Linked DNA regions of Cricetulus griseus. The protein of the gene in region 7 purifies or fractionates together with the protein of the main gene of each other region. This does not show direct contact. Links are inferred from orthologs where the notes say so. Each region holds a gene or a part of one and is shown on either strand. Other genes may lie near its edges. The genes, in order: Nup88, ATP-dependent RNA helicase DDX19A, Bach1, Nmd3, Nxf1, Ncbp1 and Xpo1.

What was found.
Region 1: the proteins of Xpo1 (region 7) and Nup88 purify together in Homo sapiens (affinity purification with mass spectrometry; 3 studies listed by BioGRID and IntAct, with this or other methods). This does not show direct contact. The link is inferred for Cricetulus griseus from reciprocal best matches to the Homo sapiens genes XPO1 and NUP88.
Region 2: the proteins of Xpo1 (region 7) and ATP-dependent RNA helicase DDX19A fractionate together in Homo sapiens (co-fractionation; 3 studies listed by BioGRID, with this or other methods). This does not show direct contact. The link is inferred for Cricetulus griseus from reciprocal best matches to the Homo sapiens genes XPO1 and DDX19A.
Region 3: the proteins of Xpo1 (region 7) and Bach1 purify together in Homo sapiens (affinity purification with western blotting; 3 studies listed by BioGRID, with this or other methods). This does not show direct contact. The link is inferred for Cricetulus griseus from reciprocal best matches to the Homo sapiens genes XPO1 and BACH1.
Region 4: the proteins of Xpo1 (region 7) and Nmd3 purify together in Homo sapiens (affinity purification with western blotting; 3 studies listed by BioGRID and IntAct, with this or other methods). This does not show direct contact. The link is inferred for Cricetulus griseus from reciprocal best matches to the Homo sapiens genes XPO1 and NMD3.
Region 5: the proteins of Xpo1 (region 7) and Nxf1 purify together in Homo sapiens (affinity purification with mass spectrometry; 3 studies listed by BioGRID and IntAct, with this or other methods). This does not show direct contact. The link is inferred for Cricetulus griseus from reciprocal best matches to the Homo sapiens genes XPO1 and NXF1.
Region 6: the proteins of Xpo1 (region 7) and Ncbp1 purify together in Homo sapiens (affinity purification with western blotting; 3 studies listed by BioGRID and IntAct, with this or other methods). This does not show direct contact. The link is inferred for Cricetulus griseus from reciprocal best matches to the Homo sapiens genes XPO1 and NCBP1.

The regions. Positions count from the first base shown.
Region 1 is NC_048600.1:84,773,517-84,778,208, forward strand, and holds the start of Nup88 (nuclear pore complex protein Nup88), read right to left. Parts: upstream 3,254-4,692; 5' UTR 3,116-3,253; intron 2,906-3,115; 5' UTR 2,831-2,905; coding exon 2,513-2,830; intron 1-2,512. Other genes in the region: Rpain (RPA-interacting protein), read left to right, coding at 3,329-3,409, 4,104-4,274. UniProt on the Homo sapiens protein: Component of nuclear pore complex.
Region 2 is NC_048596.1:187,392,351-187,396,358, forward strand, and holds part of ATP-dependent RNA helicase DDX19A, read right to left. Parts: intron 2,710-4,008; exon of another isoform or gene 2,708-2,709; coding exon 2,572-2,707; intron 1,483-2,571; exon of another isoform or gene 1,444-1,482; coding exon of another isoform or gene 1,421-1,443; intron 501-1,420; exon of another isoform or gene 446-500; coding exon of another isoform or gene 435-445; intron 1-434. UniProt on the Homo sapiens protein: ATP-dependent RNA helicase involved in mRNA export from the nucleus.
Region 3 is NC_048597.1:9,663,557-9,667,564, forward strand, and holds part of Bach1 (transcription regulator protein BACH1), read right to left. Parts: exon of another isoform or gene 3,951-4,008; intron 2,373-3,950; 5' UTR 2,313-2,372; coding exon 2,079-2,312; intron 1-2,078. UniProt on the Homo sapiens protein: Transcriptional regulator that acts as a repressor or activator, depending on the context. Binds to NF-E2 DNA binding sites. Plays important roles in coordinating transcription activation and repression by MAFK.
Region 4 is NW_023276806.1:83,373,736-83,378,521, reverse strand, and holds the start of Nmd3 (60S ribosomal export protein NMD3), read left to right. Parts: upstream 1-1,803; 5' UTR 1,804-1,958; intron 1,959-2,220; 5' UTR 2,221-2,230; coding exon 2,231-2,274; intron 2,275-4,380; coding exon 4,381-4,515; intron 4,516-4,786. UniProt on the Homo sapiens protein: Acts as an adapter for the XPO1/CRM1-mediated export of the 60S ribosomal subunit.
Region 5 is NC_048596.1:51,328,995-51,333,002, forward strand, and holds part of Nxf1 (nuclear RNA export factor 1), read right to left. Parts: intron 3,835-4,008; coding exon 3,751-3,834; intron 3,671-3,750; coding exon 3,566-3,670; intron 3,449-3,565; coding exon 3,368-3,448; intron 3,282-3,367; coding exon 3,212-3,281; intron 3,124-3,211; coding exon 3,035-3,123; intron 2,906-3,034; coding exon 2,798-2,905; intron 2,457-2,797; coding exon 2,347-2,456; intron 592-2,346; coding exon 555-591; intron 296-554; coding exon 227-295; intron 146-226; coding exon 90-145; intron 1-89.
Region 6 is NC_048595.1:97,281,948-97,285,955, reverse strand, and holds part of Ncbp1 (nuclear cap-binding protein subunit 1), read left to right. Parts: intron 1-3,109; coding exon 3,110-3,198; intron 3,199-3,736; coding exon 3,737-3,837; intron 3,838-4,008. UniProt on the Homo sapiens protein: Component of the cap-binding complex (CBC), which binds cotranscriptionally to the 5'-cap of pre-mRNAs and is involved in various processes such as pre-mRNA splicing, translation regulation, nonsense-mediated mRNA decay, RNA-mediated gene silencing (RNAi) by microRNAs (miRNAs) and mRNA export.
Region 7 is NW_023276807.1:83,477,794-83,481,801, forward strand, and holds the end of Xpo1 (exportin-1), read right to left. Parts: intron 3,726-4,008; coding exon 3,557-3,725; intron 2,756-3,556; coding exon 2,621-2,755; intron 2,538-2,620; coding exon 2,378-2,537; intron 1,951-2,377; coding exon 1,854-1,950; intron 744-1,853; coding exon 597-743; 3' UTR 465-596; downstream 1-464. UniProt on the Homo sapiens protein: Mediates the nuclear export of cellular proteins (cargos) bearing a leucine-rich nuclear export signal (NES) and of RNAs.

The DNA.
Region 1 (4,692 bases), on a different chromosome or scaffold from region 7:
AGTAAAAGATAACTATTTTATAAACTATACTGTAGAATAACATATAGCTTCAGACCAAGTGTGGTGGTACACACCTTTATTCCTAGTACTGGGGAGGAAGATTACAGGTGCCTCAGTCTGAGTTGCAGGTCACCCAAAAGTTCAAAGTGAAACACTAGATTAACTTCAAGAGCTTTGCAGCAAACAGTACTGATTTATCTGTGTTCAGTATCAAAGAGTGATAATTTTAAGGGAGTTGTAATAATTTGTCATCACATCACACATCCTCAAAAATACTCACTTCTATACTGGTACTTCCTATTTCTTTTCTCATGACCATTTCAGATTTCTATTTTTTCTTTTTACTCTTAGTAAATAATGAGACTGTCAACATATTATTTACCTGTGTATGGAGAACCATGCATTTAATCATTTAAGATAAGGCTTTTTTGAATATAATGAGATTTCTAATTGTTTTTATATCTGTAGGCTAGCGTGTCTTTAAATGCCTGTTGCAGAGCTGGGCAGTGACAGAACACAGTTTTAATTCCAGTTCTTAACAGGATCTGTCTGATCTCTGAGTTTGAGGCCAGCCTGGTCTACAAAGCAAGTTGCAGAACAGCCAGGGCTGCTGCACAGAGAAACCCTGTCTCAAAAAACAAAGAAGAAAAAGAAAAAAAAGTCACCAAATAATACAGAGCTCTTACATGCTCTAGGTTTATGACAAGTACTGGATATAAAAAAGGTAAACATAGCCTCTGTTTTGGTGTTTACAAATGAGAAAATAAAACAAAAGTTTTAAAGTAATTATTACTGCATATTACTGCACTAAATGTTACAAAGCATGAACACGTTATTAACCAAAAACTGAACAGTGTACTGGAACCAGGTATGAAGTTATCCACCTTTAGTCAGGCAGAAGCAGGGCTTAAGATCAGGAGCATGTGGTCAGTCTGTTAACTGTGGTCCCCCCCCCCCTCTCTCTCTCTCTGACACACACACACACACACACACACACACACACACACACACACACACACACACACACACACACGAACGATGGCCTGGCTCAGACGTGTAATCTCAACACTCAGAGACCGAAGCAGGAGTTCCAGACCAGCCTGGGATACATAACCAAAGGGGAGAAAAAAATCAAAACAAAATAATTTACTGAAGTATGTGTGAATTTCTGATACTTATTCGTAATGGGAATTTTACAGCGGTAGATGTGTAAATGTTGACGTAGTTTCTCAACAGCCCTGGCTGCACCTTGTTAAAATCAAATCACTTCTTAGTAAGAACTGGTTGGTCCAGGGCACACAGTACATCTCATACATTAGAATGAATGTCACATTTTGGGTTTTCTTTTTTTTTTTTGCTTGTTTGTCTGCTTGCTTGCTCCTTTTTTTCTTTTTGAGACAGGGTCTCTCTCTCTCTCTCTTCTCTCTCTCTCTCTCTCTCTCTCTCTCTCTCTCTCTATATATATATATATATATATATATATATATATATAACTCACTATGTAGACTAGGCTGGCCTCAAACTCAAAGAGACCTTCCTGCCTCTGCTTCTGAAGTGCCAGGATTAAAGGCCTGTGCCACCAATCCTGGCTTAAAAAAAAAAAGTCTTTAACTGAGGAGCGAGGTGGTTTTTTGTTTGTTTTTAACTAATTGTTTTTTGGTAGAGTTGGGGGGGTGCTACAGGATGAGGGGCAGATTTGGAGGGACTGGGAGGTGGGCGGGATTGGGGTGCATGATGTGAATTTCCCAAATTATGATTGAAATATACAGGGGGTGTGTCTTTGAAAGAGTATCAGTTTACTACAAATGAACAGTTCAATAAAGCAGTATTCGGTTACAGCAAGTCTAGAATAGAATACACTGTGATTATATCAACTTTCACAAGCCATTCATTGGCTCATCAAAAACAAAAAAGTTTGAAGACCTAGCTCAGAGTTGGAACTCCTATGTTTCCCCCGGTGAAGGCGAAGGTGTGTGTTAATGGGAGTGTGTGCACGTGTGTTGGTTCCCTGCTCTGAAACAAACGAACAAGCCTTTCCAACTTTAGTGAGGGCCTAAAAGGTCAAAACCAAAACCAAAATACAGGGATTCTCTTTTCACGTCAGGCAGGTAATTTGGTCCTTTTAAATCCGTCTTAAAGCCCACAAAAAAAAAAACAAAAAACAAAAAACAAAAAGAATGTGTCACAAGGTTCTTTTGGTCAAACAGCTAAAAACATCTCCGCCAACTTCTCTTACCCTGCTGTGCTTTTCTCATTTCACGGTTCTGTCTTTTTCACCCCAGACACTCAGAAAGCCAGCACCTAAACAGCACGAGCTCCTCTAAGTGCCTGGCAGTGACCGAAATAACAAACAAGCTGGAGAGGGATAAAAATATCAAAGAGGGGCTTTTCCACTCGAAGCGGGGTGTCCGCTACCACTCCCACGACAGAGCCCAACAACCAAGACGCGAAGCGGACCTCAAAGTTGGGTGAGAGGCCGGCTAAGGGTCGCTTTCAAGACGGACGGGCGCACCTGGTACTGGGAGAGAGGGGGCTCCACGCCGCCGCCGCCGCCGCCGCCGCCGCCGGGACCTCGAAGGCGAACCACCAAGAAGGCGCTGCTTTCCGCGTCCCACAGGAAGAGCTCCCCTCCGAGGCCGAACACCAGGTTTCTCGTCAGCAAATGCGGCGGCTGGGGCGGGCACGAGGGCGAAGTCGAAGCCGCTGGCTTCTCCGCTTCGGCTGGACTCTGGTTTTTCAGGCCCTCGCGGAGCCGCAAGAACACGACATGGTTAGGAAGCCAGCTCTGCCACAGCTCCCCGTCACCCGCAAGCCCCTCGGCAGCCGCCATCTCGAACCAACAGCTCTCGGTTCTGGCCCGCCGCGGCGCGTAGCCAATCCGCGACCAGCTCTCCACAGCTTCAGCCTATCAGCGAGTAGGAACCCGAGGACAGGCATCACTAGAGAAAAGCCAATCTACGGCGCCGCAGATTGACGTCAAAGTGGGCGGGGCGGGGCGTGGTCAACCACATCGCCGGCTTAGAGACGGTTTTGGAAGGGTGAAGGAGACGTGTGTGTCTAGTTGTCTACTGACGCCTCCCTCCGGGTAGACCCAGAACTTTCTCTCAAGACTCACCTCCCTCAGCCCAGGTGGTGTTTACTTCTCAACTGTCACAGCTTCATCCGTCTTTGGATTCCTCTAAACCTGTCTGTGAGCGGATAGCCACTAGAGACAGTTCCAAGAAAACCTCGCCACCTGAAGGGCGATCAGCACCCAGAAACTAGAACTTCCAGTATCCTTTGCGCGCGGCTAAGGGGCGGGGATTCGGGAGCCGCCTCCCGCTAAGAGATGGCAGAGTCCTCGGGGTCTCCGCACCGCCTGTTGTATAAACAGGTGGGCTCGCCGCCCTGGAAAGAAGCTTTCAGGCAGGTGAGTGTGAGATTTGGCTCGTTATCACTTCCCTAATCGTCCCTAGGACCGCTGATCTCTGTGCCCTCACTTCAGCATTGGTCATGAAGCAGATGCCCGGAGTGCCTGGCCAGCGGAGGTGAATCTTGAATTCAAGACTACCAAAAGTCGTCCTGAGTTGGGGTAGAGAGATGGTGAAGTGTTAGGAGGGAGCACTTATGCCCTTGCAGCAGACCTGGTGGCTGTAAATCCAGTTCCAAGAGCGCCACCATTGCCGTCTTCTGGCCTCTGTGGTCACCTGCACTGATGCAGTGCACATAAACTCATACAGGCACACACATGTATACATTTTAAAAAAAACCATCAGGGTTGAGAAGTACTATTGTGTAAGAAGATCATCACTATAGCATTATGTACAGTAGCAGGAATTTGGAAGCTATATAAATGTCTGACGTCAGTCTGTGGATGCAGTTACTATGCACCCGACTGCTTGCATTCAAGATAAAATGTGAACTACAGGAATCTGGAGATACATGAGCAAAGCACTGTAATTTTACCTATCTGTGTGTGGGTGAGGACTTGAGAATACAAAATTTTGCATCTAAAACTAAAATAGTTTTACGAACTAGTTAGAGGTTTGTTTTTTTTTTTTTCCTTTCTTTTTTAGTGGAATTGACCTTTTCTTTCTTTTACTATTCTGACTCCTTTCCCACAGGGATGTCTCGAGAGAATGAGAAACAGCCGGCACAGGCTCCTGGCCAGGTACCGCCAGGCTGGAGGTGGCACACCAGGGAAAGCCTCAGACAGATTTCTTGTGCAAGAAGTGATGGAGGAAGAGTGGAACTCTTTGAAGTCTGTAGAGAATTGTCCAGAAGCCTTGTTTCAGGTCAGGCAAGGGTCTGTAGCTAGCAGACACTCCATGAAGAACTTGTGCTAACATCTTTCTATCAGTTTTTCCCTGTCTTTTCAACCTACCCACCTCCCAGCCCCCAAGCATAGTTCTAACAGCTTTTTTGCTCAGGTTTTTCTAATTTTGAGTATTGATTTTATATTGATGGTTCTGCAATACTAGATTGTAGGCATGTTGCAACCTTGTAATGAAACTAAACTTATGAAGCTAAAAGGAAAGAAAATGTCATTCATTCTTGCTTTCCCCCTTGAAAATGTTGACTGATTAGGAATGGGTTAGGGACATCACTTTGAAAAGGATGTCTACAGCAACATTCTGATTCCAGCCAATCAGTTGGGAGTTGTGTGTCCATAGAAAACCATTTACAATGTATCAAGGAAGGCTATAAGTTTGT
Region 2 (4,008 bases), on a different chromosome or scaffold from region 7:
AAAGAACACAGCTTAATTTAAAAAAAAAATTCTGTAGGGCAGTTGTGAACAATTTTACTTGCAGAGGTAGGCGGATCTCTGAGTTTGGGGCCAGCCTGGTCTACAAAGTGAGCTATTGGGCTATACTGAGAAACTGGCTCAAAAGTAAAAAAAAGCAGGAACAGATGACAAATTGGTGAATAAATTAATAAACCCTTTGACAAAGAAACACTTTCAAGCCTAATTCCCTGAGAAACCATGAAAATCAGTTGGGCAGTGGTGGCACATGCCTTTAATTCCAGCACTCAGGAGGTAGAGGCAGGCAGATCTCTATGAGTTCAAGGCCAGCCTAGTCTACAAAGCTACCCAGAGAAACTATCTTGAAAAACAAAACAAAACAAACAAACAAATAAAAATAAGGGCTGGGGATGTAGCTTACTTGGTGGAATGCTTACCTAGCATGCATGGAACAGTCCCAGAATCAAATGAACCAGACCTGGTGGTGGCACATGCCAATAAACCTAGCATACGGCAGATAAGGGTAGGACATGAGAAGTTCAAATTCATCCTCAGTCAAAAGCAGTTTGAAACCAGCACGTGCTATATGAAACTCTTATCTCTAAAAGGTTATTTTTTTTAGTAATAAAAAATGATTGTGGTATAATAGCTCAGTTGGTAAAGTGCTTGCTACACAAGCAAGAGGATTTGGGATTATATGTGTAGCATATGCCTATAATCCAGTGCTAACAGGGGTGCGGAGACCCAAGAATCCCTGGGATCTCTAGCTGAATACATGTCCTCCAAGTTCAGAGAGAAATGTGTTTCTCTCTCACACACAGTATTTGCCAAAACAGCTCCATGCATTAGGCATTCTCAAGTAGTCAGTGCAGTAGTGCTGACCACACAGTAGTGCAGACTAAGACACAGTATTGTTGAGTACAAAGTAGTGTTGACTACAGACACAGTGGTGCTGACTACGGTCACAGTGCTATACAGCTCAAATAATTAAAAACAGAAAACCCTGGGGCTGGAGAGATGGCTCAGTGGTTAAAAGCAATTGCAGCTCTTCCAGAGGACCTGGGTTTGATTCTCAGCAACCACATGGCAGCTAACAACAGTATGTAACTGCAGTTCCAGAGGATCTGATGTTCTCTTCTGGTCTGCAGGCATTGCACACACAAACATACGAGCAAAACACCTACACATATATAATAAAGATAAATAAATCTAAAAAAAAAACCAAAACAACAACAACAACAAAAAACCCAGAAAACCCCTTCTGAGAGCTATTAAGTACATTTTATCGTTAGGGGGTTCCTTCCCTCAAAGCTGGTCTATCAAAGGCTTCGATGTATTTTAGGTGTCAGGAATCCAGGCTCTTCAGGCAGTTTCTAAAAGCAGGCTAATGTTTGTAAAGCCTGTAGACTTCCAAAGGGCTTACCTAATAAGACATGTTTCTGACATCCAGAAATCACCTGTCAGCCAATATTTTTATTCAAAGTTCTAAGAGTATAAAAGAAAAAAAAAGATTTTCAGCTATGATGAATAAATCTGTAGCATTTCAGTTTCTACTAAGAAAATCATGTACTGTTGTTCCCACATCTATAGTCCTAGCTACCCGTGAGGCTCAGGTGGGAGGCTCCTTGAGCCCAGGTGTCCAAAGCTTGTAAGGGCAACATACAAGATGCCACATGCATGTTGTGACCCAGGCAGGTCCTAAACTTCTGAATCTCTTACTTCAAAGCAGCTAGGTCATGGGCCTATATCACTACCAGGCCACTGAGAATTAGTATCCAAAGAAAAAGAAAAAGTTATACTGGAAGAAAAAGGGTAGCCAAGAGAGAAGACCGTCACTGTAAACGTGTTCAATATAGTTTCCTCTGTCCTAGGCTGGCCTCAAACTTGCTGTATAGTCTAGAATGACCTTGAGTTTTTAAAAAGATCCTCCTGCCTGCACAATCTCCCAAACGCTGGGATTACAGGTGTGCCATCTAATGCCTGCTTTGTGCAGTGCTAGGGATCAAACACACGACTTCAAATTTGCTAAGTACTTATTCTATTACAACCTTCTACCCTCCCACACTAATGTTTGAATAATTAGGTTTATTTGTTAGTTTGTGTTTTTTTTTCCAGACAGCGCTTTTCTGTGTAGCTCTGGCTGTCCTGGAACTCAGAGATCTACCTGCCTCTGCCTCCTGAGTGCTTTGGTTAAAGGCATGAGCCACAGCTGCCTGGCAAATCATGTAGATTACCTACTCAAAGACATAAGTATGATTAAAAACAAACAAACAAACAAACAAACAAACAAAAAACCCTTTCTTTTTAAAGCCAAAGTTAAAGTCCAGAGAATGTAACCCTGACTGTTCTGGAATTTACCCTGAAGACAGGCCTGCCTCTGCCTCCTAAAGGTATGTGCCATCACCACTGGCTTTTAGTTGTTGCTGTTGTTTTTTTGAGACAGGATCTCTCTTCCTAATTCTGGCTAGACTGAACTCCGAGAGATCCATTTACAGGTGTGCACCATCATGCCCAGTTCAGAGATATTTTTTCACTGGGACTGGGTAACAGCTGTTCAAAGCGATGGATACTCACAGGCGAAGCTCTTCAAAAGACTTCACTGAGTAAAGAGGAGAGTTTGGGTCCCTTTGCAAGACTTCTACTTGGTTGGTGTTATCCACAAGATTGCTTCTGATGAGCTTGTTGAGTAAAGACTGAGCAGCTCTATCCTCTGTGAGGAAGAAAACAGATTTTCTTCATCCGAATGAGGTAAGGCCTGCCCTTGAGAAAATACGCAACCCGTTTCTGCATCAGACGTTTTCGAGCACTCACAGTTGGAGAAAAGCCAAATTCCACTCCCTTTCCATTTTTAATTTATTAGAGATACTGTCTCACACGAACTCACAGCATCCTTCTGTCACAGGGACCCAACTTCTGGAATTCCTGCCCTTGTAATGAATAAGCTATTTTTTGTTTTGTTTTAAATGTCATTTGCCTTAGCTTCCCAAATAGCTAAGACTGAAAGCATATGATGCTTCTAAATCACTTTATCACCTATAGTGACACCCTTTTGTTTTTTGTTTCTCCAGTGTTGGGGATAGAACTCAGAGTCTAGTATACACAAGACAAGTGTTCTGCCCTTGAGGTACATGTCCAGCCTGACACACATTCCCTTTTTGCTTTTTTTTTCAATGTTTATTTTATTTTTTAGATTTATTTATTATATATATAGTTTTCTGCCTACATGTATGCCTACAGGCCAGAAGAGGGCACCAGATCTCATTATAGATGGTTGTGAGTCACCATGTGGTTGTCAGGAATTGAACTCAAGACCTCTGGAAGGGAAGCCAGTGCTCTTAACCACTGAGTCATTTCTCCAGCCCCCCTTTTGCTTTTTGTATGTGTGTGTGTAATGTATGTTTCTTTGAGTACAAAGGTGTGCGCAAGTATGTGTGTACATGAGTGTAGAGGTCAGAAATTGACATCATACATCTGCCTCAAATGCTTCATCACCTTATTTTTTGAGATGGGGATCTCTCAATGAGCCTGCAGTTTCTCAATTTTTTAGGCTGGCTGGGCAGAAAGCTCAGGATCCCTCTGTTGTCATACCACCCACTCCTACATCCACCACCAGAGCTAGGCTTACAGATGAATGCTACTGCTCATGATTTTCATGTGGTACAAACTGGGGGTACAAACCCAGGTCACAACTTCATGGGGGGCAGGCCACTCTATTGAATGAAGCCATCCTCCCAGATCTGACACACCATACCACTGTTGGCAATTTCTTCGGCTTCAAGTTCAGCACACTTTTGTGGAATATTAGTTGAAAATGCATTGCATTGGTTTATACTGTAGAACAATTCATTTAATGATGCAAATGCATTGCATTCTTTTAAGTTGCACTTGTTTAACTCAGTGAAGCTATGTTACTCTGCCTGTCTAGAACACCTGATTGGTCTAATAAAGAACTGGATGGGCAATAGCATGGCAGGAGAGGGATAGGCGGGGCTGCCAGGCAGAGAGAATACA
Region 3 (4,008 bases), on a different chromosome or scaffold from region 7:
CATGCTAACCTTACAGCGTTTAGCATGAAACCACTAAAATAAGCACTACTAAATTCTTCAAGAACAATGAAACTGGGTCACTTCCAATGCTGGTAGGGCTGTCAGATGAATACCCACTTGAAGAAACCACTAGGTCGTTTCTTAAAAAAACAAAATGTGCAAAACTACCTTATGACCAGAAATTGCACTTCTGTTTTTTTTTAATCCCTGATTAATGAACATTCTTCCACACACACAGAAAAACCTACACAAACTTTTATCTGTTACACATAAAAATTGAACCTACTCTCAATCCCTTCAACAGGTGAAAAGGTTTTAAAAAGGAAAATTAAGACATAACTATTACAGTATTCATCAGCAACACAGAATAAATTATTGGTACAAGAAATCCGAATAACAGGAAATTATCCTAAGTGAAAAAGGGCGCGTAACACTGCACTGCCCCACTTCTATGACCGCTTTGAAATGACCAAACTTCACAAGAGGAGGACAGAGAAGTGGCTGCCAGCACCTAGAGACAGAAGAGGGGAGGGGAGTATGGGGCCCAAGCGTGGGAAGGAATAGCATAGCAGCAGCGGGATCCTTGGTGATCCAGATCTAACCAGCAGCGAATTCAGAAATCCTCAGAACTTACACAGCCTGAGCAATACATGTAACACTGCGGCCATCAGCTCACCATGCATGGACTGTGTCCACATCAACATTCCTATTGGGACATTATTACTTTTTCAAAATGTTACCGATGGAACACGGAGAAAAGAGTAAAAGAAATTCTGCATTACTCTGAATTTATAATAACCTGAATGAAAATGTCAATTAAAATTTCCCAAAATATACCAAAAAACAAATATATGCAATGTTTTCAACCTGTCCCTGTGATGAGACAGTTGACTATTTGAAAACTTGTGATATATCTTTTGTCAGAATAAACATAAAACATCCAAATGTACGCACTATGCATACAGATGTGGATTAAAATAAACATCTTCTCTTCAAACCCATTAGACAAACTTTGTTCTACCTGTAAAGCCTCATTAAATAGTCTGAAATATGAACTGTAGAAAGCAAACCCACGCTGTGACTACTGTTCTTCTGTAAAATCAATGGTAGGGTACCCTTGGCTCACACCCAACACTACAGTCACAGTAACACACAAGATGAATTCGCACTTTATCCAACTATGCCCAACAGGGAACATCACACAGTACGTCATACACAAGAAGTCTACACATTTCCTCCTAGTCTCCTCAAAACTCTTTGTGTCCAAGGTCAAAATAGATTAAGAACAGTGACTGCCAAAGCACACACCCCAATAAATAGAGCCAGGAAGAATCAGTGCAACCAGCCCCACCCCATCTCAGACAAGCCCCTTGAGGTTAGGACAATGACAAAGACCCTAGTATTTACAAGCTTAAGTTACAGACTGGGGATGGAAAGGTGTGTGTAAAACAAGACAACAAACTATTTTGCTTTTTAACGTTTGTTTGTTTATTGGGTGGGGAGGTGGGAAGGTGTGTGCCAGCTCACATGTGGCGGTCAGAGGACAACCTGCAGGATTCTCGACTTCCATTACGTGAGTCCGGGGAATCGAACTCAGGTCAACAAGCTTGGCGGCAGATGCCTTTACCTGCTGAGCCATCCATTGCACTGGCCAAGACATCTTTCCTCCCAAAGCACAAAGACAATCTCAAGAAGAAAGAAATCAGGGAGAAATCCACTCAGAGAGCGCCTACTTTTCATGGGGGATGTCTTAGGAGAGAACCTGTCACAGCTGTCCCTCAGAGGGTTGGTCACACAGGCAGCTCTCTCTCAGCTACAACCCCTCCAAATGCCTACGACCTTATGAGGTGGACTAAGATGCAAGTGTTGTTTCAACATATTCCACTGCTCAGCAAGTATTAGCATCCAAAGTGAGACCTTTACATGTGAATATTCCTGTAGCAGAACCCAAAGGGTTGCTACAGAAATGCTCCTCGAGATGCCCATCCCCCCAGGGAGACCAGAGTCTGTTTTCAGCTTATACCCAGAAGGCAGCTAGGGAACAACAGGTTGGGACTGACGGCGCTGTAGCCCCTCACCTCTTCAGGCAGAGTGATGGTGAGTTCCGCATCCGTCTGGCCTACGATTCTCGAGTGGAAGTAGCTGCTGCACGCAGCCAGCACCGCGCGGTGGGCTCGGAACCGCTGGCCCTCCACCACGACCGTGACATCGCACAGCACATCCCTCTTCCGCTGGTCATTGAGGCTCAGCAAGACGTTGGTGCTGTGCACAGAAGACTCATAGGCAAACAGTGCGCTCTCACTCACAGACATCCTGGGTGGCAAACGGGGTCAGGGAGAGCAGTGGGAAGCATGCTTCTAACTGTCACCGACCTGCAAACACACAGGGAAGATGTCACTTAACAGATCCTGGGGGGAAATGTGTTTGAAACAACAAACTGTCAGCATGAATTAAAATATGTACTTGTCACTAACACAAAAATGGACAAACGTCTCCAGAAGGACAAACCACAAGTAAAGCAGGCTGATGGACTAATTCTAATTTTAAGGCAAAAATCTTAGAGACAGTAAGAACGTCCTGAGCTCAGGAAGTGCTGGGTGCCTGAAAGTAAGTTTATACTGAGAGCAGGTTTGATAGGAGCCAAGGCCTGGCTGAAACCTTCAGTCCAAATCCCACCCTCTACTTGAAGAGAGGTCACGGTGTGGCCAGAGCGGGGAGGTCACATGCTGGGATGGGGCACCCCACCATTCTCCATGTCCTGTTCACCCACAATGAGGAGAGAATAGTCAAAGGCAGAGCTTCCTCTCCAGAGACTCCAATAACCGAAGGTCAAGTTCATTCGGAGGCACAGGAAAAGGGGTTCCCATGTGTCAGGACACATCTGAGAATTCACTTTCCACATGCTATACTCTGGGAGGCCAAAGTCAGGCAAAGAACATGCGCAGAAAGCTTTGGTTTCCTCAAAATGCTACAGTGTAAGACAAAGTCGTCATTATTTGGACATAAAGTGGCTTCCAAACTTTTTTTGAGCATGTGCACAATACTGGCACTCAAAGAAAGGAGGTACCGCAAATACATGTGTGCTTGTCATTTCTGCCAGGACTGTTCTGCTCTACACACCCTGAGACACACGAGGACCTGTAACTGCAGAGTCTAAGGGATGCCAATTTCCTGCAGCCCCCACAGCCTGTGCTAACTGCAGAGTCTAAGGGAAGCCATTTTCCTGCAGCCCCCACAGCCTGTGCTGAGCATCCCCAGGTGTGCGCCCAGAGATGATGCCCTAGGCCCCTCTGCATGACTCATTTCTTCCTACATCGGCTTCCCTGTCTGACCCCCAGAGGGTCAGTGGAGGAGACACTGTCATGCTTTCAGATTTGATCCATCCCAAGAAAGCAGAAATCTCAAGTTCACTCAGATCACAGACGGGCTCCACCTCACCATCCTGGTGTTTCAGCTGCAAACAAGCAAAAATCAATTCCTAAATCCCCTTCAAATCTGTGTTTGCTTTTACACAGGTAAGCCATGAAAACACGGTCGTTTGGTTTGTAGTGAAACTCTGCCTCCAGTGAAGGATCCAGCCTTCCTTTAGCTGACCCAGCATACCACCAACACCATCGGCAAGTTCAACATTAAACGTGAAGGTGGATGAGCTTGGGGTTGCACCCTTACAGAAGGAGCAGTCTGATTCTTCTCAAAATGGGTCTTCATGATTCAGTTATCAACAAAAGCAATCTCTAAGAACTGCTGGGAACAGTAGAGATTAGCTTTCCAAAATCCTGTTTTCTCCTATTGGTGGGAGCTCTGGGATCAGGAGTCCTCCTTCAAGGCAGCTGTCCACACTGGCCTGCCAGCCAAGGCGAACGCCACAGCTACTACCCCATGCTGGCTCTCACGCTTTCCAGCCACCCAGGTTAAAAACCTGTAAAGGTGTGTGTTAGGCTTACCCTTACCACTATCATCCTAGTGAAGACCACACAGCCAAGTGAAAGTGTAAAAGCTTCAAGACTG
Region 4 (4,786 bases), on a different chromosome or scaffold from region 7:
TACAGATAGTAGTTGCTCTGTAAAGAATAGGGTATGCTTCTTTCTCAGCTCCTCCGTGGCAGAGAGTGTACAGAATTTGTGCCACCTGTTCTTGAGACATGTGCTTTAGTTCTCCAGGGAAATGATTTGGACCCGGTGGGAATGGGAGGAGTTTTCAAGTTACACATCCAATTTCCTTACTAGTTAATGAGTAACTCAAATGCTTTTATATTAGGGAGTATTACTAGTTGGTGGACCTAAGGAATTAGTCTATTTCATTCAAGTTGTTGAATTTGTCTGTGTAACTTCATCATAGAATTCCCTTATAAACTTTGCCAGTTACTTATATATCTTCTTCTGAAACTGTTGTAGAACATTACAGATTTTGTCAACTTTTGTTTCTTTGATGGAGTCTCTGCTAGAGCCAAATGGAATGCTATCAATGGACTGGTGATCTGCTTTTGCTTAACTCCACCGATAATTCATAGAAACTATTTCTGTTTTCTTAGTTTATTTCTTTTATTAACATCTTCAGAAGGATGTAACTTCGTGTCATTGTTAGGGTTACTCTTGCTTTGATGAAACACCATGACCAAAAGCAAGTTAGGGAGAAAATGTTTTTTTTTCTGCTTACGTTGCTATGTCACAGTTCATCATCAAGGAAGTCAGGACAAGCAGGGCAGGAACTTGGAGTCAGGAGCTGATGTAGAGGCCATGGAGGGGTGCTGCTTACAGGCTTGCTCCTGGTGACTTGCTTAGCCTGTTTTCTTATGGAACCCAGGACCTCCAGCCCAGGGATGGCACCACCCACAATGGGCTGAGCCCTCCTCCACCAATCACTAATTAAGAAAATGCCCTACAGGCTTGTCTACAGCTCAGTCTTATGGAAGCTTTTTTTTTTTTTTTTTTTTTTTTTATTGCGGTTCCCTCCTCTCAGATGACTTTAGCTTGTGTCAAATTGACATAAAGCTATCCAGCACACTTTGCATAGGTGAAAATATCTTTATTGGGGCTTGAGAGATGGCTCAGAGGTTAAGAAGACATGGCTTCTGTTTCCTGTACCCACAAAGTGGTTCACAACCAGTTGTCTCCTTCTGATCTCCTCTGGCATTAGACGTGCATTTAGTACAGACACACATGCAGGCGAAACACTCAAAAGAAAGTAAATTTAAGTTTCTTAGAAATATTAGGATCTCCTTTTGACACCAGTTTCTGAAACCACATTGTAACTGTTGCTTACATATCTATTTTCATCTATTTTGTGAATTCGCTTCTCAGAAAAAACATGTCCGGATTATTTCTTTAAGAATAATTTCCTTTGGTGAAAAACATTTCAGTTTTTTCTGCTTATCATTAAAAAAGTACAATGTAATCTAGGAGAACGTTATCAGATTTTTATTTTTTGTTGTTTAGTAAACAGTGATTTGATATGCTTAGGCTATCTACGGTGATATTCATATTGGGCAATTTTTAGAAAGGTTTATCTATCCTATGTATATGAGTGTTTTGCCTGGATGACCATATGTGCACCACCGCATCAGATCCTCTAGAACTAGAACTGTGGGTGGCTGAACCCACCTCGTGGGTGCTGGAAATTGAACCCAGGTAAGAACAATTGGCTTATAGTCGGTGAGCCATCTCTCCAGGTCCTATATAGAGCATCTTCAGGGTATGGGAAGGGTGAAAAGCAGAGGGAGGACTACACAACCCCAGCAGCGGTGACCAGAGCTCCCTGCCTGCTCAGCTCGCCCCGCCTCTCATGACCCGCTACCTCCATAGGCCCCGCCCTTTGCTACACGTGTACCTTACCTTTGACCCGCCCACCCTCCCCTTTCACCGGAGTCGTTTTGAACACGGAACTTCCGGTCCTGCTATCGCGAGACATTCCCAGTGGCGTTGGCCCGCTGAGGCAACTGGCAGGGAGTCCCGGCCTGGCGGGCTGCCGGTATCTTGCCCTTCCCCTTGCCACGCAGGAGCTGGTAGGTTCTGGGGTCGCGATCCGTCTCCTGGCGCCCGCACTGGCCCGTGGAGGGAGCGGGCCGGGCCCTGCACCCCGGCCGCGAGCGGACCGCGTGGGTGCGGCGGGGCAGGGCGGTGCGGAGGCCGGCTCCACGCGGGGCCGCGCGCGGCCTGAGGTCGTGTGTGGAGGACGCCTCCGAAGCCACCCACCCGGGGCCCGACCTGCACGGCCGACGCCACGGGACGTAAGGCTGCTCATCGGTCCCTCCCTTCCTTTAATAGGTCCGGAACGATGGAGTATATGACAGAATCGGTTGATCGCAGCCCCGGACACATGTGAGTCGCGAGCCTCCCTCTCCTTCCTTAGTTTGCAGATCGTGAAATGAGCCCTGGAAAACTTTGAGCGGCAGAAGCCCTTTTCTCAGTTGGAAAAAAAAATCAAGTCTTAATCCCTTAGGAAATCTAATTCATTTTAATTGATTCAGTTCATTTCTAAGTTCGATCTAGAACATGCATGCTTCATCCTAGACGACCTGCCAGAGAGGCACCGCACATACGGATGTTTTGAGTTCATAACTCAGTTCCTCCAACACACGAGCCACACACTGAGAACTCAGTAGCCACATAAAACTAGTGGCTACCGCTGGAAGTTTATTATATTTTTCTTTTGGGCAACAGTGTCAATGGTTCACAAACTTTTTTTTTTTTTTTCAAATCTACTTCAAATAGAGTCCTGCAGTGTAGCCCCAACTCCGCATGAAATTCACCCTGTAGCCAAGACTGACATTGGGAGCCTGGCCCTCCAGCCTTAGCCTCCCCAGTGCTGAGGTTATGTCAAGCCCAGTTCACAAAATTTTTCTGCTTCCAGTACACTATAGAGTTATACTTCTGTCTAGAGCTTCAGCAGATATCGATCCTGCCCTGTAGTCGGTTTTTCTTTTTAAGATTAATTTTAACGTAAAAGTTAATGCGTTTCATTATGACATTTTTATGTATACATATGTATGAGTATACATATATTTAACATTGTACAGTGCTCATATTTACCCTACTGCTGTGCTTCACTGTCTCCCGCCTCCCACTGATCCCTTTTCTCCCCCTAATAACCTTTCTGTTTTCATGTTATACATACCTTATCTTTTACCGTGGGTCCCAGTAACTGAACTGTTCCTAATGTCGTGGAGATAGTGCTCTGAACAAAGGCATCTGGTCGGATGTGACCTACACAGGGTAGTGTTTAGAAGATTAAAGAGAAACTGCACTTACATGTTGCTTGTTTTGGTTGTTTCCTTGTTTAGTTTTGCTTTTTGAAACAGTCTCACCATGTTAAGCCCCACCTGTCCTAGAACTCAGAGATCTGCCTGCCTCTGCTTCCTAAGGGCTGGGCCTAAAGGTGTGCACCATCACACTGGGCTGTCTTACTTTTTGTTCACATGGGATCTGCTTCAGTTTTTACCATTGATGTTACACTATTTTCCTTGTTAATCTCTTTTTTCCTTAGTTTTCCAATTTTAAAGAAGGGATGATGAATGACTAGAATATATCTGTCATTGCATGAAGTTCTGTTGCACAGTGCCATTGTCAGATTTTTGTTTAAATTAAAGATAAAGAAGAGGAGGAGGAGGAAGGCGCAAGATGAGACACAGGATGAGACATATTAGACATATTAACCAGTTTATTATAGGCCTGGCAGAGTAAGGAGAGTAAGAGAGAAGAGAAACAGTGTAAATGGCTGACCACCATGGCTGGTCACCATAGAGAGGGAGAGAGAGAAGAGAAGCAGAAGTAGACAGAGAAGAGGAGAAGTGTAGAGAGAGTGCAAATGGGCAGGGATCTGTCTTTTAAAGGGGTTCCCTGCAGTTGCAGCCTCCTTATTTTTTTGGGTCAATGTTCCAGGGCTCTTCTTCACTCTTTAAGATTGCTTTTTTTTTTTTTTTTTTTTTTTTCCTGTCTTAATTTGAGACAGAGTCTCATTGTGTAGTCCTGGGTGACCTGGGACTCACAGAACTGTGTTCCCTGCTTCCTGGTTGTTAATTTTAAAGGGGTTTCCCACCATGCTCAGCTTGTCCTATTTTGGCTTTAAAAGTTGTTTTACATGTGTGTGCATGAGTGTATATGTGTGTGTGCCATGTACATTCAGGATCCCACAGAGATCAGAAGAATAAGGGTTGAATCTCTTGGAACTGGAGTTATAGTTGGTTGTAAGCTGCCACTTGGGTGCTAAAAACTGTTTCCAGGTCTTTGATTTGATGGATGGATGGAGGGAGGGAGGAGGAGGGAGGAGGGAGGAGGGTGGGTGGTGGTGGGTGGGGGTGTGTGTGTGTGTGTGTGTGTGTGTGTGTGTGTGTATGTATGTATGTATGTATGTATGTATGTATGTGTTTTTTTGCCTAGTGAATTTATAAAATCTAATTGGAAAATTTTTATACTTATCTTCTCAAGCTTGTGCTGTGAGTGTGGTGTTCCAATTAGCCCAAATCCTGCCAACGTTTGTGTGGCTTGTTTGAGAAGTAAAGTTGACATCAGCCAAGGTGTTCCAAAGCAGGTCTCCATTTCTTTCTGCAAACAGTGTCAAAGGTATGGTACTGTATGTTACTTGTTTAGCTTTCTTAAGTTGATATTCATACAGAGAGCCACTGGGATGTGCTGGGATTACACCAAAGTACCAGAAGGAAGCATGTGCAATTGAGATTTAATTTTTACTTAGGTTGATGGTACCAAAGATTTTATAATTTGCGATTTCCTAATGTGCTTTCTACTGTCCTACTAATTTGGTAAAGATAGTAAAAGTCCTTGTATAAAAGTATTTTGAATTTGACAGTAGAAGATGCCTTCTGAGAGTGGATGT
Region 5 (4,008 bases), on a different chromosome or scaffold from region 7:
TTCTGTGTCTGAAAGCAAAGGGACACAGTAGTGAGCTATGCATAGGCCAGTAACTAACCCCCCACCCAAGGGGCTCCTGGGATACTCACTGCTGCAAGAAATGCAGGACCAAACTCTTTAGGTTCTCTGTTCCAAAATAGCTTCCCTGAAATCAAAGACGACATTAGGATCACAGGACCAGTATGCTTCCCACTCACCAATTTCTAATTCTAACCCCAATTCTGACCTTGCAGGGTGGTAGCATGGTGGGGGCTTCAACATCAAAGGCAATTGGAGGGGGTAGCTCATGGCCATCCTGTGAAAAAAAGGGAATGTAACATGAGAAACAGAAGAACGACCAGATCTGTGAGCACACAGAAAAGCTAAGAGAAACAGGCCAGAAGTCAATCATAAAAAGGCATGTGTGTCCAGGAATTTCATGTGAGCTTTTCTAGGGTGATGGCTACACTGCTAGCAGATCCTCAAAGGGATCTCCACACCCACACTGGTGGTCACAAAGCAGAGGCAAGACCTTGACTGTGCTTCTTTAAGAGAGAATGAAGTGCAAAACTTACCAGGCGTAACAACTTGGGAAATCGTTCTCGAACGGCGCTGTCAAGAACGGGACAGAAGTGAGTGACGCTTCAGAGCCATCATGCCTCCTGGGCTGCTCTAGGAGCAAATACACCAAAGACCCGAGGAACAGCCCATCCCATCCTGCTCATCACCCACTCCTTCCCAGCTTGCACTTGGGGACAAGAACCCCCATTCCCCTCCTCACCAGGAGCACCCCTTCTGGACTGCCTTGAAGGCTGGCTGTCTCTTCTCATTGCTTGATCCCGAGTGCCACAGGAGGAACACTCTCAGCCCAGGCTTTAAGCCTAGGGCTGCCTTCCCCACCTTGCCCCCCTTACCTTCCACCTACTCACCTGTGCAGCCCCGGGAGGAGGGAATGGGGTGAGAGCCCAGGGGCTCCGCTGCCTCAACAGGTATCCACCAGTTCTGCCAGGTCTGGCCTTGGCCAAGACCAGAACACACCACAAGTATGGCACAGGATGTTGGGGCAGGGAGATGAGCAAGACAGGGCTCAAGAGGAAAGAAGGCAAAAAAAGACCAGGGGAAAGAGGAAATAGAAAGGTAGGCAGGGGAGGGACAAGGGAGAGATGGAGTAAGGAAAGGAAGCAAAGCAACAGAGACAGAACTGAAGGGAAAAGAACAGGGAAAAGAAAGCCTTCCTCCTACAGCCCTTTCCTTCAGCTGCCCCTTTTCCTGTGGTCCAAGGTAGAAATGGAGAATCAATCCTACTATAGTGGTTTGTAGTCACTGTTGGCCAGGTCTCTGTCCGCTCCCTGGGTCCCGGTCTAAGCTGGGCGTGGGAGGTAAAGCAGCCATGGGGCCAGGAGACCTCCCTCAGAAGACATGAGGGTTCAGGCCCCTGCCGGAGTTGGGGGGGTGAGGGTCTGTGCCCCACCTCAGTTGGCCCCCAAGTTCTCTCCTGATGGCCCCTCTGCGACTGTGCCTGTCTTAGGTTGTTCCTTCCCTGAGGAATCTTACCCGTCTCTGGCTAACCAGCCATCCTCCGGGGCCAAGCAGGGTGATGTGAGGTGTGCAAGTGAGGGAGGGGCAGTGCCCCTGACAGGGTCATTTCTTTGTCTCCTTGGTAGCAGATGCCCCTGTGGCCTCCACGCCCAGCACCTGCCTTGGGATCCCCTCGCCTACTGGCGGGGCCCTGGCTTTGGTCACATCTTAGGGAACCCAGGTTTCTTCTCCAGGAAGGGCCCAGCTCACAGCACTGGGCTAGAGAGACCAATAGAGTGGTACCAGCCTCCCAGAGGCATCAACCTCAGCATGGACAGGAAAGACCAGGCCATAGCCTTGGGTAAATGGATCATGAGAAGAGTCCCTCTTGGCACAATGGCAAGAGTGACCATCAAATGACAAAGGAGGTCCATCTCAGTAGATAGTCCCAGTTAGAGAGGACTTTCTCACCCTGAGTACACTAGGCTTCTGGCTGAAGACAATCATATGGGTGGGGCATACATAAGACACCCCCATATCAGAACAGAAAATGGGAGGTGCCCTTCCTGGACAACAGGTAGGGAGATTCTAGAAAAGGCTGTGTTCAAGGAGGAGAACGGTCAGAAAACCAGAGAACAGTAGTCAGGTGAGAAGGAAAGAAAAGAGATCTGGGAGAAAGCTGGGAGACACAGAGAGGCAGAAAGGAATACGTTATCCTCCTCCCAAAGGACAGGTGGTTCCAGCTCAGGGCTGTATGTTCTCCTGTAGACAGGCTCTGGTCAGGGTGCATTAGCTCAGCCTCCCAGGGGGTGAAGGTCCCCAGGAGGGGAGACAGAGGCTACAACTGACCTGATATAGGTGGACTGGTCTCGGAAGTTATCACACATGGGGTTTCTGTCAAGCCACAGCTCTTCCAACTTTAGCCCTTTTATCTTGTCTAATTCCCGCTCAGACTTCAACTGTGAAGGATAAGGGGAGGGCAAAAGGGAAGAAAGAGACCCAAGTAAGAATAGCAGTTGGATCTCCACACTCCCAAATGCTACCTAAGTTTCCTTTCTTGCCTACCACCTTGGCCAACCAAACTCTTCTCACCCTCCCCCAACATAACAATAAAGCCAGAGCCAGTGGGATGGCTCACTCAGTGGGCAGAAGCTCTTGCTGCACAAGCCTCACAATCCACGTTCCAGCCCAAGAACCCACAGTGGAAGGAGAGAACCAACTTCCAAAAGCTGTTCTCTGACTTCCACCCACTCATAATCACTAACTAAAAAAAAAGCATCACTAGGTTATCAGTCCTTACTTCGTTTCCAGAGAGATTTAGGGTCTTTAGGTTCGGCGCTTTCTGTACAATGCTGGACATATCATCCAGCTTGAATAGTCTGTTGTTGCTCAAGTTCAAAGACAATAGCTGTAAACAGAACAAAATTTAGAAGTGTTACTACATGTAGACCAGAGGCAAGTCTGGTTCCTCATCCCTCATCAGGCCCCAACCCGATATATCCCACTTTGCTTTCTCATGCAAAAAAAGAAGCTGCACCTCAGGAATATTCTCTTCAATGATCTGCAGGGTGGCAGCCATACAGCTTCTCCGGTTAAGAACAGCATCAATGTTCTGGGCCACCAAATCTTCAGCAAGCAAAAAGAAAAAGAAGTCTGAGAGTTATACGAACTGATTGGGCCCCCTCTCCCTCTAGCCGGGACACTACTGTCATACCTGGGTCTGAGCGGAGGCCCTTGAGGTCAAGTGCTTGTTGGGAGCCATCATATCGTTTGCTCATGATCAGCTAGATGAAAAGAGACAGACAAAGAAAGGGTTTAGTGATCACTGAGGGAGAGTGAAAGACAACTGGGCCACTTAAGCCAGCCTCACCTTGAGCTGCTCTACTTGTTCAGGCTTCAGTTCTTTCTGTACACTGCGGGGTGGAGCAGAGGAGTTGATGATGATAGATATCTGAAGAGAAGACACAAAGGCAAGAGTATACTTGAGGTAGGCCAATACTTACTTAGTCCTTTTCACTCAGTGCATCAGCGTCAACCTATGCCACACCAGGCCCTTTGTCTAACATACCCTTCTGTTTTCTCGATCGTGAATCTTATAGTTCACAGCCTTTAATGCAGAAGCTGTAGTGGCATCTTCCACAAAAAACTGGGCCCGTGTGTTTTCATAGTGAAACTGGAAGAAGGAAGAACAAGAACGTGAGATTTGGAGAGCACAGGCCTTTGGCCAGCCTCCCAAGCCTCCCTTTGCCATACCTCAATGGGGTTGAAGGGGACACTGCACTTGCTCTGAATCATGCTCAGGAGCCACGCTTTGTCATACTTTTTGCCATAAGGAATCTGGAAATAAGAGAGAAGGGAAGCACATTTTAGTATTTTCTGCCAAGACTGAAAAGGTTTCTAGAGCTTTGGGGTGGAGCTCAAAGATAAAAGACATGCGTAACATGCATGCATGAGGCTCAGTGATAGAAAGGATGAGGCATGCTTACATGCATGAGGCTGGTAGAGCCCTTC
Region 6 (4,008 bases), on a different chromosome or scaffold from region 7:
AACCTGGAAGCAGGAGCTGATGCAGAGGCCATGGAGAAGTGCTGCTTACTGGTTTGCTCAGCCTGCTTTTTTGGGGGCGCGGAGGGGAGCAGGGTCTCTAGATAGCTCTGGCTGTCCTGGAACTCACTATGGAGACCAAGCTGATTTCAAACTCAAGAGATCCATCTCCCTCTCCCATTCAAGTGTTAGGATTAAAGGTGTGCTCTACCATATCTGGCTCAACCTGCTTTCTTATAAAACCCAGGACTACCAACCAGCCCAGGGGTGGCACCACTTGTAATGGACAGGTCCCTCCACTGTCAGTCACTAATTTAAAAAATGTTCTGCCGGCTTGTCTACAGCCCAGTCTTGTGGAGACATATTCCCTATTGGGTTCCTTTCTCTGACATCACTAACCTGTGTCAAGTTGACAAAATTAGCCGGCACAATTGACTCCTTGTCAGTTTGACATACTTTACTTAAGACATAACCTTTCCCTTTTTTTTCATCTCCAGTATCTCAGATTAATAAATAACACAAATATAAAACATATTACAAACGTAAGAACCCAACAGTCTTTACCAATGCAAACACTTTGGATTTTAAAACTTTTAAAGTCTCAAAAATAAGTTGCTTTTTTATTCAAGAGGCAAGAACCAGAGCACATTCACAGTCTGAACAAAGCAAATCCAAACTCCCACCTATAAATAACTCTGTGTCCAATGTCTGGGATCCACTCATGATCTTCTGGGATCCTCCAAGGATCTTGGGTCTCTTCTCTTGCTTCACTCTCTGCAGCACACACAGCTTGTCTCTTAAGCTCTGGCAGGTTCCACTCCATCCGTGCAACTGTCCTTGGTCATACCATGTTACTGGCCTCTCCAAAATGCTGGGGTCTTGTCTGCAACTGGGCTGCTCTTTCACCAATAGCCCTTTCCGGGGCTCTCTTCACAGTGCCAAGCCTCAGCTACTCTTCATGACCCCTTTGATCGTGGGCCTTCAACTGCTGTGGAGGCTGCACCTTCCTCAGTGGCTCACCTTAGGTTCTGAGCCTCAGCTGCTCAGGGATGGCACCATCCACAATGGGCTGGACCCTCTCCCATGATCACTAATTAAGAAAATGCCCTATAGACTTGCCTACAGCCAGATTTTATGGAGGTATTTTCTCAATTGGGGTTCCCTTCTCTTAAATGACTCTAGCCTGTGAATAGTTACATAAATTTAGCCAGCACAGGGACTCACTGATTTGCCCTGGCTGTCCTAGAACTGTAGGTAGACCAGTCTGGCCTCAAATTCAGTGATCCACCTGCCTCTGGCTCCCTAATGGTGGATTTAAAGACCACAATACCAGGCATATGTTAGCTTTTTGATGTGAATTCTAGGGATCAAACTTGGCCCTTCATGCTTGAGTAGCAAGTATTCTTATGCACCAAGCCATCTCTCCAGCCCCCCCCCCAAAGTATTTTTAATAAAGGTGCTGTATTCTGCTTCTGTGCTCTCACTCGGACTGTCTGCTGAGTTCAGTGTCTTATTACTGTCCATGGGTTCAGACTGTGATCGGTAGCACTCACATGTACCTTTCATACCCTCTCAAGTATCAGGTAAGAAGAGTGACTCTTCACATTCTAGTACTTTCAGTTTTCTCCAGATAAACCTTGGCTGGATAGCCACAGCAACACAGAAGTTAACAGTTCAGAGATATGACTATGTGCCTGTATTTTCTCATTGTCTTTAGAAAGTCTGCCTTGTCTCCCCAAAGCAGTGATTTCTGTGTGTCAGGCTTACAAGAGGACATGGAAGAAATGTTTGGAAGACAAAAATGGTTGCAAACTGGAACAATGTATAATTAGGAGGGCTTTGGGATGTGATAAAGGATTAGTATAGTAGATGGGCCAGAAGGAAGGAAAAAGTTTGAAAAGGTTTAGAAAAACAGCTGCTCTCATTCAGCTAGTTTTTCACTCTGTATTCTCTGACCCTCACCTAAAATCTGGTTCTGAATAATAATGAAGAACACTGTTGGTGCATTATGCATTCTGAAGCAGTTTCTTAGCATCAGCACTGTTAAGTTTAAAGTCATACTTTAAATAAAAAATTTCCAGCAGAGTCAACTTGTTTCTAAATCCTTATTTCAGCAGTTTCTGCAGTAATTTAGTTACATCATCAGTTTAACAAGTACGGTTGACACTATGAGGTTTAGGAACCAAAAACTGTGGGTCAGTAAGCAAGTTAAAAGAATGGAAGCAGCAGTACTCAGATTATGGGTGTTTGGTGTGTTGGTGCCCTTCAGTGTTTCCGAAGAAGTGGACATTGCTTACACAAATCTAACTGAAAAAATGCCTCCTGACATTATTCTTTATAGTGACCTTAATAACAGAGACAATGTGAGGCATTGGAAAGATGGCTCAGCAGTTAAGAGCACCAACTGTTCTTCTCAAGAACCTCTGTTTAATTCCCAACATTCACATTGTGTCTTACAGAAGTCCATAACTCCAGTTACAAGGCATATGAATCTCCCTTCGGGCCTCCACTGGCTCCTGACATACAAGTGGTACATAGTTATACATATAGCCCAAACATCTGTACATATAAAATAATAAAAAAAAATTAAATATATATAAACGCACATGCATAGAGAGGGAGAGACTGGGGTCTGGAGAGGTGGCTCAACAGTTAAAAGCATTTACTACACAATCATGAGAACTGGAATTTGGGTCTCAGCACTCTAAGTGTGTGCAGTATATGTCTTTAACCACAACTTCAAGAGAGTGAAGACAGGAGGATCACTAGGAGTTACCATCATCCTAGCTAAGAAAAGTGAGCCCCAGGTTCGGGAGAGACCTTGCCTTAAAGAATAGTGTGGTGGAGGACACCTAGCACCCTCTCCTGGCTGTATATGAGTGTACTAGCATGGGAACCTGTATACATGTGTGCATCCACTTACGTACACACAAATCTAAAAGAATGCGGGATAGAAATTGTCCAGGTATACCTAGACTAGTTAAAATGTGATTGGTTAGAGCTACTCTAAAAAACATAGTCTGATGGAAAAGAGGTTAAAGGCTAACAAGGTGACAAAAATTGTGATAGTAGAGTCATCATGTAATTTTTTTTTTTAATGTTTCTGAAATAGGTGGACAACCTCACAAAAGGAGAAAGACCTCTGATGCAAATGAAACTGAAGATCATTTGGAATCTTTAATATGCAAAGTAGGGGAAAAGGTAGGTATGCATCAAACCCAGGGGTTAGGGTTGTGGCTGACAGCTTTGATTAATTTCTGAAGTTGTAGTGGGTGATTCAAGTTACAGACAAAGTGTGTGTTATTACTGCACATCTGTATCCCAATGGGAATGTGTTTTGGTAATTTTCATTAGACAAGCCTTAAAATAGACCTGAGGATAGTCCTCAGCATGATGACCTGAAGCAGACTTGGATACCTCAGACAGCAGAGGGTGATTAGTGAGAGTGATGGAGCACAGCCCATGCTGTCCCCACACTTGGGATGGATGCACATTCTGCTTAGACTGTTTTGAAGATTTTGTTGACTCTCTTTTCATAGAATATAATTCTAATGAACAGTAACTACTCGGATTTATTACTGCTAAGTGAATTTTCTACAAAATTGTCCTTAGTTCTTATTTTTCTTCCCCACAGTGCCTTATAGAAGACCTTAATGTTTTATGGTCATCTAGGAATTTTAACTTTTAAGTCATTGATTGCTTGAGCGCTAACAGATAATTAATGTGATGTCCTCTGCAGAGTGCCTGCTCTTTGGAGAGCAATCTAGAAGGCTTGGCTGGTGTTTTGGAAGCTGATCTTCCTAACTACAAGAGCAAGATCTTAAGGCTTCTTTGTACAGTGTATGTATGTAAAAGATTTGTGCATCAGGTGATAATGTATTATCTACTCTTATGTGCTTTGGGGAATGTGCAGAGGATGTGTTTACATTCCATGTCACTGGCCTCCCTTCCATCCTGAAACTCCTGCTCATGAGATGCTCCTCTTGCCCTTTGTTCAACTTATTTTTTTCT
Region 7 (4,008 bases):
ACTAACTGTTCCCATATTTTTTAAGTTGCTTTACAATGGGATGATATGCACATGATCTTGCTGCAAACTCGACACACAGACTTTAATACATGTAGTCTAGAGACAGACAATTCAGCTGAGGTGCCAACTCCAGACAGTGCAGCTCTAACAAACCTCTGAATGCAATTGGTTTTACTCATTACTTTTCTTCTAGACTGAGATACAGGCTAGAAAGAAAATGCTCCCTAATTAAAATTGGTAATGTTTACAAGAAAAAATTTTATAATTAATTTTGCATTAGAATTTACAAGTATATGTTCAAATCAAATTAATTCCTCCCCCCAGCCTTGCCACAAAATAGGCATGAAGTAAAAGTTTTTTAAAAATGCCTTAATTTTCAACTTCATGCAAACTAAAGATGACCAAAACAAAACCTTAAACAATGGAAGGATATTTCACAGAAAATTTCTTATACAAAAAACACATAAGAAAAAGGGCCACTAGGTGACATTTTAATTTACAAATTGGCATCATTTTGGTCGACAAATAATCCATATGCTGTTTTCTTCTGTGAACAAATGTTGCAGAGAGAAAAAAACCAAGTATGACTTCAGATTTTAATCACACATTTCTTCTGGAATTTCATGTGGATTAAGAATCCCAGGTACAGACATTTGAAGTTTATGCTTCTCCTCCTGAGCCTGTCGAAGCGCTGTTTCTCTTTCTTCCAAAAATAGATCAGAGGTATCTTCACCTGCAAACTCCTGTGAACACAGACAACTGAGGGTCAAATACAATAAAACTTCAAGTTGCCTCCGGGGGACTGGGGGACAGACATCTATGTAACCATTTTGCCATTTGCAATAGAAATATAAATTACCTGTCACTTGGATTTATAATTGAAGTGTATTAGTAGAATCTTAAATTAAAAACAAAACTTGGGGTGGGAGCCTAATAATGTAGTGTTATCCCCTATTAAATATCCTTTGTTGTTGTTTTGAAGAAGGGTCTCTGCGTGTCATATTCTTTGCATTCAGAACTCAATGATCTTATTGTACATGATCATCTGACATCAATTCTCACTAAATTGCCTTGAGTAAGTCAACTCTGTGCTTGTTCACTAGCACCACAAATTTTCCTCTCAAGCATTATCTGAATCACATGACAAGAATAATGGTACACAAGTACATTCACAGCACTCAGGAGGCTGCCACAGGTGGACTGCTTGAACTCACAGGTTTGTACCAAGCATAGGCAATACATCAAGATCCTGTCTCAACAAGATCTGGCCCACGCCTTTAATCCCAGCACTCGGAAGGCAGAAGCAGGCTGATCTCTGAGCCAATTTGTCTACACAGTGAGTACTAGGACAGTCAGAGCTATACATATAGTGAGATCCCACTTCAAATAATCCAAACTAAAAAAACCTCAACAAAGTGCAAGGAGCACTGCAATTCTTTAACACTAGAGGATTAAAAACATAGCAGATAAAATGGCTCAACAACTATGATTAGTCAGGCAGTTGTGATGCAAACCTGTAGTCCCAGCACCCAGGAGGCAGAGGCTCCTGAACACTCTTGAGTTAAAGGCCAGCCTGGTCTACAGGCTGAGTTCCAGGACAGCCAGGGCTAGGGGTGGTGGTTGAGGAATGTAGCTCAGAATGTTTGCCTGGTATTTAAAGAAACTATACTGCCTTAAATTGTAAGCTTCAGACTATCCTGGTCTCAAAGGAAGTAGATAGCATGTCTGAGGATGACCTCCACAAGCACATGTATACAAGTGCAGATGCATGAGTTCAAGGCCAACCTCGTCCACACAGTAAACCTCTCACAAAAAGCAAAATTAAATAAAAACTTAGATTAAGAAAGATATACCTTTATTTGTACTAAGAAGTCCCTTAGATGTTCCTTGAAAGCAGGAATATCCTGATTTAAGCTGAAAAGTCCTGTTACAAAAAGCTTCACTTGAGCACTGCAAATAAACACAAAAATTAACCATCTTTAAAAACTAGACATTTAAGGCACTATGTTTAAGACCACTTGTTTATCTATCAAGCACATCCATCAAATTTCAAAACTTAGAAGATTTAAATAATATAACTTGAGTTAAGGCACTTGCTGTCAGTCTAGGACCCATTACTGGAAACCACATAGTAGATGAAAAGAAATTATTCCCATGTTTCCCTCTGATCTGTACGATGTACAAAGTTGCACACACCCACATGCATCTATCCACAAAACTAACATTAAAAACAGAATCCACTGCCCATGTCAGGTGACTCCCAACTGCCTATAAATCCAGCTCCAAAGGGAGTGGTGCCTCTGGTCTTAAAACTTCACTCACATGCACACACCCTCCCCCCTTCTCGTATAGTAAAGATAGTAACAGAATTATTTACTCTTGTAGATGAGGGAATGCAGACTTAAGGAGATTAGCCACATATTCTTGAATAAACACTTGGTTGTTAACTGGATTTCCAGGATTTAACGGTGTACTTATTTTTCCTTCTTCAACCAAATTAAACATATATGCAAGAATTGATGCATGCATTGTTAAGCCTGTTGAATAGAAGCAAATTATTAATTCAAAGATAAAACTTAACAACCAGAACACTTAGTAGCTTTGTGGTTCCAGTTCTTACCTGCCGTATGTGAAGTGTCGGTAACAACAGAAAAGATATGTTGAAGAATATCACAAAAATAAGTTTGATAAAAACTCTGGGCTGCAGCTTCCTCTTGCGCAACATTTTGTAAAAGCGTAAAAAGTATCTGTAAGCCTAAAGTCAATAGAACATCATTACAGACTGATAAGATATATGGGGGAGGGGAGAGGGTTTCTGTGTGTTTTTGGAGCCTGTCCTAAAATTCCCTCTACAGACCAGGCTGGCCTTGAACAGATATCTGCCTGGCTCTGCTGGGATTAAAGGAGAGCTTTTACTAAATAAATAGATGTGTAGCCAGGCATTGATGGTGCACGCCTTTAATCCCAGCACTCGGGAGCCAGAGGCAAGCAGGTGGATCTCTGTGAGTTTCAAGGCCAGCCTGGTCTCCAGAGTGAGTACCAGGATAGGCTCCAAAGCTACTTACTACACAGAGAAACCCTGACTTGAAACCCCCCCAAAAAAGATGTGCATATGAAAATCTGCTTGGGGCATGTTTCATTATGCTTTATAGAGCGCCTGCATTTTGTGTATGCTCAGTTTCCTTTAGTTCTTAATAGCTGTTCATAAAAACTAGCTTCTGGTTATGATTGTTGATTTCTTTTTTTCTCTTTTTGTTTCTTTTTCTACATAGGGTTTCTCTGTATAAACCTGGTTGGCCTGGAACTTATATATCCATGTGCCTCCCAAGTGCCAGGATGAAAGACATGTCCACTATGCCTGTGGATTTCTTTTGTTTGTTTTGTTTAAAGAGTACTGCGTTTTCATTTCTTAAATTTATTCAACATTTTAAAAATTTGGTTAACCTCTGGTAACTGAAACCTCAGAAATTAAAGAGGTATCAAGTGGGACTTAGTATATAGTATATACTTCTGATTCATCAGGCAAATGGGCTAAACTACTTTTCTGTGTATTTACCTGTATCTGCAACATTCCTCATTGTATGTTTAAAAGCCCAAATAATAGAATCCAAAACAAGCTTAAACTGTGCAGGTGGAATAGCTAGGAATGCTGGGAAGCAATGAGAATTGACAGCCTGAAGTAACAAGAAGAAGTTTGTTCTGTGTTCTGGATATTCTTCAAAATCCTAAAAGAAATGAGAACAAACATTATTAAGGTAGGGAAATAACAAGCCTGTACTTCATCAATAGGTCCTGTAAGATATATTGCCCCCAAAGAAAAACCCACATGCTGTAGGATAATCTTTTGTAAATCTGTGTCTCTGCCTAAGGTGCCTTCTGATTGGTTTAATGAGCTGAATGACGAACAGCTAGACAGGTGAGGACTGGTGGGACTTCCAAGGGGAGAGAGGACTCTGGGAAGAAGCAGAAACTGAAGAAATTAGACATATAGTCCAGGAAAGGTAACTA